2 linked regions of the Oryctolagus cuniculus genome follow. The protein of the gene in region 2 interacts with the protein of the main gene of each other region in a biochemical or structural test. Links are inferred from orthologs where the notes say so. Each region holds a gene or a part of one and is shown on either strand. Other genes may lie near its edges.

The links.
Region 1: the proteins of TCERG1 (region 2) and U2AF2 form a complex in vitro, tested with the Homo sapiens proteins (2 studies listed by BioGRID). The link is inferred for Oryctolagus cuniculus from reciprocal best matches to the Homo sapiens genes TCERG1 and U2AF2.

The regions. Positions count from the first base shown.
Region 1 is NC_091449.1:3,335,821-3,342,725, reverse strand, and holds the start of U2AF2 (splicing factor U2AF 65 kDa subunit), read left to right. Parts: upstream 1-2,864; 5' UTR 2,865-2,955; coding exon 2,956-3,004; intron 3,005-5,240; coding exon 5,241-5,376; intron 5,377-6,183; coding exon 6,184-6,228; intron 6,229-6,905. Other genes in the region: CCDC106 (coiled-coil domain-containing protein 106), read left to right, coding at 1-154, 232-408, 892-1,104, 1,193-1,509. UniProt on the Homo sapiens protein: Plays a role in pre-mRNA splicing and 3'-end processing. By recruiting PRPF19 and the PRP19C/Prp19 complex/NTC/Nineteen complex to the RNA polymerase II C-terminal domain (CTD), and thereby pre-mRNA, may couple transcription to splicing.
Region 2 is NC_091437.1:33,945,304-33,952,307, reverse strand, and holds the start of TCERG1 (transcription elongation regulator 1), read right to left. Parts: upstream 4,013-7,004; 5' UTR 3,934-4,012; coding exon 3,875-3,933; intron 3,279-3,874; exon of another isoform or gene 3,146-3,278; intron 1,501-3,145; exon of another isoform or gene 1,349-1,500; intron 1-1,348. UniProt on the Homo sapiens protein: Transcription factor that binds RNA polymerase II and inhibits the elongation of transcripts from target promoters. Regulates transcription elongation in a TATA box-dependent manner.

The sequences.
Region 1 (6,905 bases), on a different chromosome or scaffold from region 2:
GGGCCTGCGGCCGCCTGGCGCGTGACCGCGGGCCTCTCCTGTCCAGTGAAGAAAGACGATGAGGGCTTTGAGGTCTCCGTCCCCTTCGAGGAGGCGCCCCCGCTGGACTCGCAGCTCTTCTACAGCCTGAACTCCTCGCAGGCGGGCTTCGAGGGTGAGCGGCGGGGGCGCGGGGGCGCGGAGGCGCGGGGCCGCCGGCCCGCAGGGTGACCGGTGCGCTCCCCGCCGCAGAGCCCGCGGAGGCCGCGTCGCCCACCCTGGCCCTGATGAACAGCGTCAAGGCGCAGCTGCACCTGGCCCTGGAGAGGAACTCGTGGCTGCAGAAGCGCATCGAGGACCTGGAGGAGGAGCGGGACTTCCTGCGCTGCCAGCTGGACAAGTTCATCTCCTCCGCGCGCGTGGACGCAGGTGGGCGCGCGGGCCGCGACCCCGTGCCCCTGCCCCCTCCCGTGCTGGTCCAGGACCAGCAGCAGCCCGGCCGGTTTACTGGCGGACCCACGCGTGCTGACCGCCGCCCAGCCCCAGCGGGGCCCCTGCTGCCCCTCTCTCTGCGAGCCCCCTCCTCCCCAAACCCGGCGCCACGCACGGGCCCGTGGTGCCCGTGCCCACGCTGTCAGGATCTGGCTGTCTCCCCCGCGGATGATTCCCGCGACGGTCGGGCCCCTGGGGAGCCCAGTACAGGGCCTTTCCAGCACCCGTGTCCCCGGGGAGCGCCCCCGGTGCAGCTGGAGGCCTTGGCTGTCCCCGGCCTACCAGGCCCAGAGCCCCTGTCTCCCGGGCTCCCACTGCCCTCCAGGGGCTCTGCGGGTCAGCGCGGCCGCCAGGCGTCCGGCCTGGGCCCGCCGTTCACCTGCGGGCTTTGCTCTCCCCCGCCCCCCATCCCACCCCCAGAGGACCACTGCCGGGCCAAGCCGGGGCCCCGGCGGGCGGAGGGGGACAGCCGCGGCGGCGCGGGGGGCGAGGCCTCGGACCTGGAGTCGGCCGCCTCGTCGCTCAGCGCCGCGTCCGAGGAAGGCAGCGCCGGCGAGAGGAAGAGGCAGAGGCCGCGGGCGGGCGCCGGCCGGAGGCGCTTCGGGAAGCCCAAGGCCCGGGAGCGGCAGCGGGGTGAGCGGGGGCCGAGGCCCCGGGGCGCGCGCCCTGGCCCCGCGCGCCGCGGCCCCGGCCCTGACCGCCGCCCGCTGTCCCCCCGCAGTGAAGGACGCCGACGGCGTGCTGTGCCGCTACAAGAAGATCCTGGGCACCTTCCAGAAGCTCAAGAGCATGTCGCGGGCCTTCGAGCACCACCGCGTGGACCGCAACACCGTGGCGCTGACCACGCCCATCGCCGAGCTGCTCATCGTGGCCCCCGAGAAGCTGGCCGAGGTGGGCGAGTTCGACCCCTCCAAGGAGCGCCTGCTCGAGTACTCGCGCCGCTGCTTCCTGGCCCTGGACGACGAGACGCTCAAGAAGGTGCAGGCGCTCAAGAAGAGCAAGCTGCTGCTGCCCATCACCTACCGCTTCAAGCGGTGACCCGTGCTCGCTCAGATCCAATAAAGAAAGACGAGAGACGTGACGCTCGGGCAGACGGCGCCCGGAATTTAAGTTAAAAAATTAAAAATAAAACAGAGACGTGACGCTTTGGCACAGACTGGGCCCCAGCGTTTTCCTCGGAGGGGAAGCGAGGGGTTGGGGAGCACAGGGTGGGGCGAGCCCCCCGGGGGCGGCGCCGTGCGTTAGCGGCGCGGGGCCCGACGACCCCCGGCATGGGCGGTCCCCGGGCGCGGCGCGGCGTGGCACGGCGGCCGTCTGCCGCCAGGGGGCAGCAGCGCGACGTTGGCCGCGTCCCGGAAGTGGTGCTTCCACCGCCTTCCACGCGTGCGCGCGGCGGCAGGGGTGCGAGAGCGCGGACGCAGTTGCCAAGACAACCGGGAGCGGGCGGTCGTGCTTAACGGTCGGGAACTCGGACTCCTTTTAGGCAGGGAAAGCCTCGCGCACGCGCAGTGGGGGCCCTGGAACCCGACACCGCCACCCCGCCTCAGACCGACCTCCGCGCAGCCGCAATAGCCCGCCTCAGCCCCTGCGCAGGCGCGCAGAGCCGCGCTGGCAACCTCCGCAGCGGCCGCGCGCGCCCTCCAGCCCGAAGGCTGCTGCTGCCTCGCGCAGCCGCCTCAGGCGCTCCGGAGAGTCGGCCCTTCCTTCCTTCCTCTCTCCCATCGGGAGAGCCAGGTGCCGAGAGCCCGGACCCCGCCCCCTTCTCTGGACCCGGGCCCCGGACCCACCTCGCCTCCGTCCTCCCTCCCTTTTCGGTTCCCGCCGCCGGAAGGAGCCGAAGCGCCGCCGGAGAGAGCCGAAGCCGCTTCCGTGAGGGAGGGGCTTCCCGAAGCCGCGGCGGAAGGAGCCGAAGCTCTCCGGTAGGGGAGGAGTGCGCGAGCGGACTCTCCGGAAAGAGCCGAAGCCTCTGGCGAGCGCCGAAACCCTCGGAAAGGTCGTCGGCAGTGGCCGATTGCTTAGGCGGGTCCGGCGGAGCAGCGCGGCGGATCTGCAGAGGGAGAGACTGGGGCGGTTGGAATTGTCGGGAGGAGCCGAACCCGCGGAGAGGGCTCTGCGCCGAGGGACGCGAGGACCCGCGAACACAGCCGGACGGCGAGGCGCTGACTTCCGGAAAGTTACGGAAACCCGAGACGCCGGCCAGGTCCTCGCTTCGGGCGTTTTCGGAAACCGCCGAGGCCGACCGTCCGGAAAGAGCCGACGCGCTTCGGAGCCAGGCTCGGGGGCGGGGCTCGCGGGGGTCGGGCGGGGCGAGGGGCGGAGCCTGGGCGGGGCGGGCTGCCGGGGCTTGATTAGGTAGGAGGCGGTACAGCGCCGGCGGCGGCCGGAAGTAGCCGAAGCTAGCGGCGGAAGTAGCCGAAGCGGCCGGAGCGGGCGGGCGGCGAGGCGAGGCGAGCGCTGCACAGGGCCCGACGCGGCCGCCTCAGCATGTCGGACTTCGACGAGTTCGAGCGGCAGCTCAACGAGAATAAACAAGGTGAGGGCGCCGGGGTGGCGGGGCGGCGCGGGAGGGGTGGCTCCTCGCTTGGCTCCTCGGCCCCCGCCATTTTCCCCCTCGTTTCCCATTCCTCGGCGCCGCGCGATCCACCCCCCCTCCCGCGGCGCGCCTCGCTCACGTGACCGCCCGCGGCGCGGCGAGGGGCAGGGGCGGCGGGCGCGGGCCCGTGGCGCATGCGCACGGCGCCCGCCCGCGCCCACGTGGTCCCCGCGGAGGTGGCGAAGGGGGACGCGGCGCGCTGGCGCCGGAGTCGTCGACCCTAGCTCTGCTCGCTCTCTCCCTTTCTTGGCAAAGACGATTAGTATGTTAGATCCTGTAATCCCCTTCTTTTTCGCCCGCTGCTGCAACTCTTCCGCTTCCGGTTGTGCCGGGGCTGCGTCTCCACGCCCCCTTTGTTTCAAAATGGCGGTCTCGGGGACGGCCCCCTCCCCCTCGCGTGGACCGGGGCCCCTAGCTGGGCCTCCTGCGTGTCCGCGCGGAGGTGGGACGGCGCGGCTGCGGGCCGAGGCAGGCAGTGCCCGGCAGCGCCCCGCCGCCCGGGGCTGCGTGCCCGCTTCTCGCGTTCGGCGAGAGTGAGGGCGCCGGGAGCAGCGGAGGTCCAGGGGCCCAGGCCCGAGCTGGGGCGGGGGTGGACGGAGCCCGCCCCTCCCGCGGCCTGCCTGCCGCCTGAGTACCGAGGGTGCGGTGTTCTTTGCTAATGTTTCTGGCTGTAGAGATTCCTCATGGGGCGAGCGAGCCCCGCTGCAGGGAAGCTGCGCCCCTCGCTGGGGGCCGGCGCTTTGTTCGGTCCGCCCGCGTTTCCTCGCGAGCACGGCCCGGGTCCCCCCGCTGCGGGAGGGGCTCGGAGGGCGGACACGGAGTCGGGCGAGCCGGGCCGGCTGCCCTCCCGCCGTCGGCTAGGCCCTCGGCGCACCTGGCGCGCGGGGCGGGACGGCGCCTGCTCGAGCCAAGTTCCGGTCGCGTTCGCGTGGCGTCCTGCGGTCAGCGGGGAGGAGCTGGCGCGGAGTCCGGCAGGTGTGCGGCGCCTCCTCCGGGGCCCACGTGTGCCCCGTGCCGTGCGTGGGTCTTTGTCCCAGCGCGCCAGTCTCCCTGCGTCTCTTGGCGACCTGTGCCTAGGGGATTTCCTTGTTTGCGTCCGGGCGCCCCGCGGGCGTCCCTTTCCTGCGCGCTGCTGAGCCTCGGCGGCGGGACGCCTCCTGGGCCGGTCCCCGTGGGCAGCAGAGCTGCTGGGGCCGGCGCCCGGCGCCCGCGCGGTGCTCGCGTGCTGGCTGCGGGCCGGCGCCCTCGTCTCTGTCTTCCGCACCCCAGCGGGGTTTCTCTGTCTTTGCCTTCCGCGGAGGGAGTGTCGTCGTGCAGGTTGGAGGCGGACTGTCTGCTCCGCCGGCCCCGTGTCCAGCAGTGGCGGGTGCAGGCTGCTGGCGCGCGTCCCGGCCGCCCGTCCTGTGGCCGAGCCTGGGTGCAGGTTCTGGCTGGGGATGCAGGCGGTGCTCCCGGTTGTGCGTGCTTGAGCGTGCGTGGTTGGGGGCAGAGCACGCGCAGCCACGTTGGACAGTGTGTGACACGGAGGCCACGGGGGCGTGGACCTGTCCTGCGCTGCGTGTGGTGGCCCGGTCGGGCCCGTGCCGGGGCGCGCGGTGTCCTGCGGAGGTCCTGGCGGGACCTGGAGTCCCTGGTCCTCGCCCCGAGGGGATGGAGGCATATTGGTCCCGCGTGGCCTGCCTGCAGGAGAGGGATGACTCGAGCGTCCTGCATCCGGGCACATCACATCACGCCTGGCTCCGTGCTCCTGGGCCGGACGTGGGGGGCTGTGGGTGCCAGCCGGTGCCCGCGTCTTTCCTGAGGGGTCGCTGGGTCCCTTCAGGAAAGCATCATTGGGTCTCTTGATTCCCCAGCGTCTAGCCCTGCCCCTCTCAGGGACGACCCTGGGGTCAGGCCCCTCAGCCCTCGAGGGGGACCAGGAGCCAGCCTCCTCTGTCTTCTCTGGCTCCTCAGCCCTTGAGCATCCGCAGGTATCTTCACCCCCGGGGCACTAGCAGGCCCTGTCCGCGGTCCCCTCTGCTGTGGACCCAGGAGGCCTCTTCTCTCCCTTCCTCCTGCAGTCCCTGCCCTTGGGGGTGGCCTCCCTGGGTCTTGGGCGTAGCCACCAGCGTGCAGGGTGGGCTGGGCCCGCGTCCTCCCTCCACTCAGCCCAGCCCCTGCCTCTCGCCTTGCGCAGAGAGGGACAAGGAGAACCGGCACCGGAAGCGCAGTCATAGCCGCTCGCGAAGCCGGGACCGCAAGCGCCGGAGCCGGAGCCGGGACCGGCGCAACCGAGACCAGCGGAGCGCCTCGCGGGACAGGCGGCGGCGAAGGTGCCCGGGCCAGCCTGGGTGTGGGGGGCGTCTGGGTGGCCCCACAGCCTGCGTGGCCTCGTGTCTGTCGGGTGGGGACCAGCTCTCCGCCGAGTCTGGCGTTTCTTTCACTTCCCCGCTGGCGGTGCTGGGGGCTGCGGGTTCTGTCTGCCCCGACCCCGAGGGCTCTCCTTACAGAGACGACTTGATGAAGGGCGGGCCGGGGGCTCTTGTCCTTGGCTGCCACGCTTGGGGCTGGTCCAGGCCAAGGCTAGGACCCCGAAACTCCATCCTGGCCTCCCCGTGGGTGGCAGGGCCCAGGCACTTGAGCCGTCTCCCCCGCGTGGCCTTCCCAGGCGTGCTAGCGGGTTGCGGGCTTGGAGGTGGCACGGCTGATGGCGTGGCCGATGCCCGGCGCAGGGCTGGCTCCCGCCGCGGGCTGGTTGCCTTGAGCTGTTCTGTGCTGCTCTGGGAGGCTGTCTTCCGGGGCTGCTCTGGCTCCAGTCTCTCTCCCCTCCTCGCAGTGGGGCACTGTCTGCAGCCTCGGCTCCCGGGCTCCCTCCAGGGATTCTGCTTTCCCGCGCCCCCCCCCCCCCCCCCCCGCCCAGTGCCTGCAGGGACACTGGTCTGCCCTGGCCCGCCTCCTCCTCTCCTAATCCTGGTCTGGGAGTTGGCGGGGGGAGATGGCAGGGCCGAGGGGGCTGCTTGCCGCTTGTTCTCCTCGGCCCTGCCCCAGCCTTGGGACTCAGTGAGCTGGGGGGGAGTGGCCTGTGGGGCAGTCGAGGGTCCCCAGTCACCCCTCCCCTACCTTTCCCTCCCACCCCCCAGCAAACCTTTGACCAGAGGCGCTAAAGAGGACCACGGTGGATTGATGTGAGCGTCTCTCCTGCCCCTGTGCCCCCGCGTCTACACCTTTCCCTCCCTCACTGCTGTGTGCCTCTCCCTGCCGTGTCCACACCTTCCCCTCCCTCACTGCTGTCCACACCTTGCCCTCCCCCTGCCCGCATCCACACCTTCCCCTCCCTCACTGCTGTCCACACCTTGCCCTCCCCCTGCCCGCATCCACACCTTCCCCTCGCTCACTGCTGTGTGCCTCTCCACTGCCCTCGTGTACACCTTCCCTTCCCCCTGCCCACGTCCACACCTTCCCCTCCTCCTGCCCGCGTCTACACCTTCCTCCTCACTGCTGTGTGGCTCTCCCCTGCCGTGTCCACACCTTCCTCTCCCTCACTGCTCTGTGCCTCTCCCTGCCCGTGTCCACACCTTCCCCTCTCGCTGCCCACGTCCACACCTTCCCTTCCCTCACTGCTGTGTGGCTCTCCCTGCTGTGTCTACACCTTCCTCTCCCCCTGCCCACGTCCACACCTTCCCCTCCCTCACTGCTGTGTGCCTCTCTGTGCCACGTCTACACCTTCCCCTCCCCCCTCCCATGTCCACACCTTCCCTCCTCCCTGCCCGTGTCCACATCTTCTTCTCTTGCCTGTGTCCACACCTTCCCCTCCCTCACTGCTGTGTGCCTCTCCCCACCCATGTCCACACCTTCCCCTCCT
Region 2 (7,004 bases):
TACCCAGCACTCAGTAAACTTGAACATTATTTTCAGACCTCAGCAAAATCTAAGAGTGCTTTGTCTTTCAAAGAGGCACTTTGGGGACTGGTTCTCTGTCATGTAGCAGGTTAAGCTGCCAATTGCAATGCCAGCATCCTTTATGAGTGCCAGTTCAAGTCTCAGCTGCTCCACCTCCTACCCAACTTCCTGCTAATGTGCCTGGAAAGGTAGGAGAAGATGGCCCAAAATCCTGGGCCCCTGCTACCCACATGGGAGAACCAGATGGAGCAGCTGGCCCCTGACAGCGACAACCATTTGAGGACTGAACCAGTGGATGGCTCATTCATGTTCTCTCTCTTGTACTCTAACTCTGCCTTTCAGATAAATAAGCAAATCTTTGTGGGGGGGGTGGGGGACAAAAGGCATTTTAATTTACATCTCACTAAACTGGTGATAAAATGCACATAACTTCCTTCTTCAAATGCCAACAGCTGCCATTTTTTGAAGCTGGTTTTTGTACAACTTACTGAGTTCTTTATATATACTGCTTCATTACAATAACCTCAGTATATCCTGCAGTGAGGATTATATGACCCAATCAAGTACTTAAAAAACAGTGCCGAGCACTTAAGTGCAACCTATAAGCTATTATTACTGTTACTGCAACATTAGCACAGTAATAGTATTGGCAAGTGTTACGTGGTATTACTATTAAGAGTGCTACCTACTATTACACTGGTAAATATATATTACTAGGACCTATATAGCCTGGCCCTGTTGACCTGCCCAAAGACTCTATCTAGTCTTTCCAATCATAGAAAACTTTAAGTTCATTACTTAGAAGCCTCTGCACTTATACCCTTTGTTTGGCACGTCCCCAGATGTTTATATGATGCCTTCTCTCATAATTCAGCTTCAGTTCAAATGCCACCTCAAGCTGCTTCCCCATTTGTAGTCTCTCACAGTCTGTGGCTCATTACCCAATTTCAGTAAGCAATTATGAGAAATGTTATAAAGAAATCTCTCACTTTTACTTTTGTATTGCCTTTACTAATAGTACAGGATTCCCTTTAGTATACTGTGGCACTGCCTTTCTTGCTTTAACAATGACAGTGAACACTGGGTACCTTCCTATATTCCAGGCAAAGTTACATGGATGTCAGTGTACTAACTCCCAATCTTTACTATAACCCAATAAGGTATGTCTGGTTCCATTTTACAGAGGAAACCATAGCACAGAAAAACAATTTGCTTAAGACAGTTGGTCAATAGTTAACAGCAGGGTATTCTTACTCTCATTTCTACAGGCAAGAAAATCTAGACTGCAAGTACTTCACGTCCTAAGTATTAATAGGAAAACACATACCCTAAGGATCCATGTAAATATGACTCTACTGGGTGGGCCTCTGCTGGACCAATGAAGCTGGCAGCTGGAACATCGCATTCCAAATCCGAGTGCCTGGGTCCAGGTTCAGTTCCAGGTTCTGCTCCCCATTCCAGCTTCCTATTAGTGTACACCTTGGGAGGCAGTGATAATGGCTCAAGTAGTGGAGACATGAATCAAGTTGTGAACCACTGGATGGGAACTTGTATGTGTTAGATAAACATGACTTTGAAAGTTACTTTAATGGCCCTCAACCATAAAGGGACAGATGGCATTTGGATCTCTGAATTTCCATCTATTGTACTTCCTGCTGCTTTAAAACCTTTTTGGGAAGCAAAAGACTATCTATGAGACTAGAAACAAACAAACAAAAATTCACAAGAACACCATGGAAATACAAACATTTTTCTAGGAGTGCTCTATATAGATAGGCAATCTCAATGGTGAAAACTAGACTGCAAACACTTTAACTGGAGGGGCAAGATGTACATGGGAGGCAAATTACAATAATTGAGTAAGGAGACCTAAGTTTCAGTCTAAACCCTGGCCACTACCCATCGACTTTGGATAAGTCATTTCAAACTTGCACATTGGGTTTTTCATTTCATGTGGTTGGTTTAGTTCAGAATCTGGATCAGTCTCAATTAGAATGGAAACAAAGGGGAGAGCAAAGGCCTCTCATGATTTGGTTCAGGATCTACTGCCAGCATCCAGGTCTGTAACTGCCTCATGAACACAGGCCAGCAAGGGTACCACCTCTAAGTCTCCTGTCTTCATTTATTTATCTATAGATTATTCTGTCTGCCACTGTGATAGACACAGCCACGAAATACATCCAGGATAGATTTTTATAAAGACTGAGTCCAAACTTCTGCCAGCACAGAACACATGAACAGCTAATTTCTCATAAATCATGATAAATGCTAAAACAAAGGTCTATCCACACGCTCTGCAACTTCCAACCCAAGAGGCTAAACTACCTGCAACAGCACACCTAATCTAATGCCCTACCTAAATCAGTTTTGCAATATCTAGTTTACAAATAGTCTAAAAGGCTATGACTGTACAGCTGAAAACACTCCATGAAACATAAAACAATGTTACCTAATCAATCCATCTGAGACTAGCCAAGCAGTAATCTTCTGAGATCAGCATCAAGAACAAGCTCCACCATTAACACTGGAAGATACCCACTACCCACTTTGTTCACTCATTAACCACTGTGCATATGGGGCTGATGGGCTTAAGAACTACCTCTGAAATAAGTACTGCCAAAGTAGAAATTTCTGTGCCTAACATTGCAGAATCTGAAAGACATTATCTTCTCCTAAAACTCTAACAATAAGCTCTGGACAGTATTAGACTCGTCATCATCTCCACTGCGTTTTTCAATTTTAAACGCTGACAACGGCACAATTCAGAATGTCAGCTGAACATCTGAAATGACATTTCTCCCATCGGGGCGGGGGTGGGGGGGTGGGGAGAAAGTACACTAGATATACATCAAGCACAGGACCTCTTTCCCATCCCCTCAAAAACCGGCTTGTTGCTTGTTTTTTATCCTGGTCACATTTTTCTTATCAAACTCTAACGACAAACTCCGCAGGCACTGAATTCCCGAGGAAGGAAGGTCACTGCGCTCCTTTTTTAGAGCACGGGTGGGGGGGGGGGGGGGTGGAGGAGAAGAACAGAATTACCCGAAATTGCACGTCCATAGCCTGCCTGCCGCGGCTTAACCTGCTCCACCCAAGCGGTCTTAACCCCGCACTCAAACCCCTACGAGGCTCGGTTTCCTCATCCGTAAGCCGCGCGAGCAACTTGGCCGAAGGGCCCTCGGCGCTGGGGCCTACAGAGCCGGAGCACCAATTCCTGCAGCGGGTGGGCTCGGGCAGGAGAGGAGAGACAGCCCCAAGTAAGCGCCTCACCCCCCGCTGCCGCTTTTGTTATTCACAGCTCCGGGATACGGAGGGATAGAGAGAGACCGAGGGAGACAAGCCACAGGAAGTTAAGAAAGGCAAGTGGGTGGGGGTGGGGGACGAGATCAAACAGCAAACGTGGACGGCCCGGAGGGCGTGGAGAAGGCTGAGCCAGAGACGGGAGAGGCCCCTGGGAGTTAACCGCACCGCCTAGGGACGTCGATGGGGAGAAGCGGGCCGCGGCCGAGCCGAGCCGGGAAGGCAGGCGGAGGGCGGCAGAGGCCCAGGCGGCACGCGGCTGAGGTGGGGCTCCAAGCCGGGAGCGCCCGGCCCGGCCTGCAGGCCGCGACGGACAACTGGGCCCCGCGGAAGCCGCAGGGAGCACCCCGAGACCGCGCAGAAGGCCGCGCGGCACGGCCCCGGCCCGGCTCTCATTCAAGCCACCTTCCCTTCCCCCTTCTCTAACCCCATGCGGTTCTGGCCCCAACCCGCCCCGTCCTTGCTGCCCACCGTCCGCTCCGGATCTCCACGAGCAGGCCTAGCCACTGGGAGTCCAGCGCGCCGAGATGTGCGAGAGGGCAGCGCCCCTTACCTCAGCTCCCCCGGGTTGAATCGCTCACCGTCCCCCCCGTCCCCGCCACGCTCCGCCATTACAGAGGGCCGCGTTCATCCACCCGCCGACCCGACGCCACCTATTGGCCGGAAGGATCGTCAATCCCGTGCGAGAGAGGCGGAGATAGCGGAAGTCTATGAGATGATTGGTGAAGCTTTCTATCCATCCTCCAGGTGGAGGCGGTATCTGCTTTACTATTGGACAAAGGACCCGCCGACTTTGAAAGCGGTATGGAGACAGCCAGAGGATTGGTCGCTCGGAGGCTTTATGGGAAATGAGACTTTAGCAAAGAGGAACCACCGGCGCCCTCTCGCGGTAAGCGAAACTAGGTCCTCCCACGTTTCGCCCAGCGTGAAGTAGCCACGTGTCTGCCGGCTTCCAGGAGACCCAATTGTGGAGCCATATTGGCCACTAGTAGCTCAGGCCGAAAGCATTTCCACGGGGTGAGCCAATCAAAAAAGACCTGGATCGCGCCTAAACCAATCATAGAGTTGAGGCGGAAGGAGTTTTCGCTATTTGACTTATTGGAGTCTTAAGTCAGCACTCGGCTGTGTATCCAGTTTATGAAATAATATCTGGTGATTACAAGAAGACCTCCTAAAATTGTACTAATTAGTTGCATCTGATGGGTGTTCTGAGTTGCTTTATTGAAAAAGTAAATTGGAGAAGCCAGCCTCTTAGCAGTACACAGCCTTAGCGTCCTCCTTCAATCTCAAAATGCAGTTATCTGAAATTGGCACACCCTGCTACCCAAAAAGAACTCTAAATATTTCTTTTATTCTTCGATTAAAGGGGAAAAGACGGCTGAGGCTCTGGAGTTGCAAAGACAAGATGAAAGCAAACCTATTAATAAAGAGCTCAAAGCATTAATAAATTTTACTCAGACTTAACAGTGTATACCAGTACTTTCCATACAATTAAAAAAATAAAACCACCACCACCATGGGACCAGCGTTGTGACACAGCAGGTTAAGCTGCCACCTGCAGCGCCAGCATCCCATGTTAGAGTGCCTGTTGAAGTCCAGGCTGTTCTATTTCCCATCCAGTTTTCTGGAAAGCAGAGGATGATGGTCCAATGCCCTCCCCCCACCACGTGGGAGACCCAGATGGATTTCTGAGTGCCTGGCTTTGACCTGTGGCCATTTTGGGAGTGAACCAGAGAATGGAAGATGTCTCTGTCTGTCTCTCCCTCTTTCCCCTTCAAATAAAAAAAATTTTTAATGAATTTTTAATTTTTTTAGTTACATTTCCTTTTTATTTTTCAGTTTTTAACAGATTAAATGTAGCTTCAAGATACAGTTCTAAGAATGTTTAAAAAAAACACACAACAAAACAAGAAGTGAGTCATATGCATAGCCAGTTAATATATAAGAATGAGGCAGAAAAGTAACTTGCCCCAAATCCCACAGCTAGTAAGTAGCAAGCGTGGCCTTAACCAGAAGGCAGTGTGGCACAAAATTCGCGCTTTGAATTACATGATCCAGAATAATTGGGTCCACAGAAAAATGCTCACAGCACCAGTATCCACAATAGCCAAGAAGTGGAAATAATCTAACGTCTATCAGCCGGTGAGTGGTTTAGAAAATGTGCTACATCCATACAATGGGATATGTTCAGCTGTAAAAAGGAATGAGGTACTGATATATGCTGCAACAGGGATGAACCTGGAAAATATAGTACGTGAAAGCAGCCACACACAAATAGCTACAGATGGGATGACTCGTTTCTAGGAAACGGTCAGAATAGGCGAATCTATAGACAGAAAAGCGAGTAACTGGAGGTGACGACATGCCCCTGAAGTCCCTCTTGGATGCTAACGAGATTCTGGTACTGGGTAGTGGTAGTGGTGGCCCAATTCTGTGACTACATGAAAACCCATTGAGAGGTCACATCGAATGGTGGGTTTTGTTGTATGTGAATTGTATTTCGATAAAAAGTGCCACGTTCTCCTGATTCTCAGCTGAATATTCCCAATCAGTTATGTCTGATAAAATGTGGTAAGTGCTAAACACAGAGTTCTGAGCATGAGTAATTGGAGAAGGGATGGTAACATTTCAGTAAAGATGTGACATTTGAACAAAAAACTAAAAGTGGGGCGTTCGATTCTTTTTTCAACATCAGTATTCATCCCCAAGTGCTGGCCAACTTACTCTGAAAATAATACTGGCATGGAGGGCTCATTACAGCTGAATCCCCACTGCTGAGAACACTGACTCAAAGTGGGCACCCTGTGGAAAGTGAGTCACTGGCATTTATAAAGGATGAAAACAGTGTGAAGAAACTCCTTGCAGATCCACTGAAAGTTCATTATCTACTGACTTCTAGCATGTTATCTATACCTAAATATAGTTTAAGATATTTAATTTCTTTTGTAATCTTATTTTCAAGTAGATTAAATGTATAGTCAGCCCTCCATAAAATCCCTAAGTGCCACATCTGCTAAGTCAGCTGCTTATAATTAGAAAACAATATTCATTCAAAAAACACTGAATCTTGGAGCAGGCATGTGGGACAGCTGAGATGCCACTTCGGGTACCGGAGTCACGTACTGGAGTTTGGCTCTTGGTTCCTCTCCTTCTGATCCACCTTCCTGCTAATGTGCACCCTGGGAGGCAGAAGATGATGGCTCAAGCACTTGGGTTCCTGACACTCCTATGACAGACCTGGTTGGAGTTCCTGGCTCCTGGCTTCAGACTGGAGAGTGAGCCAGTGGATGGAAAAAATCTCTCTCACTATCTTTCAAGTAAGATGAAAATAAATAAAAATCAACTTATCTTTTAATTCCATTTTCTACAAACTTTGAATCTACCAGCCCTCCCCCAACACACCTTTTTTTTAATGTGTAGAGGTCAAATTGTTTATTGTGCAGAAATCTCTATTTTTCTTGTTGCTGTTACAAAGAATTGCAAATTCGCATGAGTAAACTGCATATTGATGAGGAAACTGAGAAGTCCTGAAACCCACGGACAGACAGGCAGGCAGGCAGACACCATCACCCTGACCCTCACAGCGACTGCAAAGCTGGGAGGAGGGCACCGGCTTCCCTCCTGCTCCTTTTCCTCTCAGAGGCCACGCTGAGGCTGCTCTCCATCTGTCGTTGCCCTTTGCT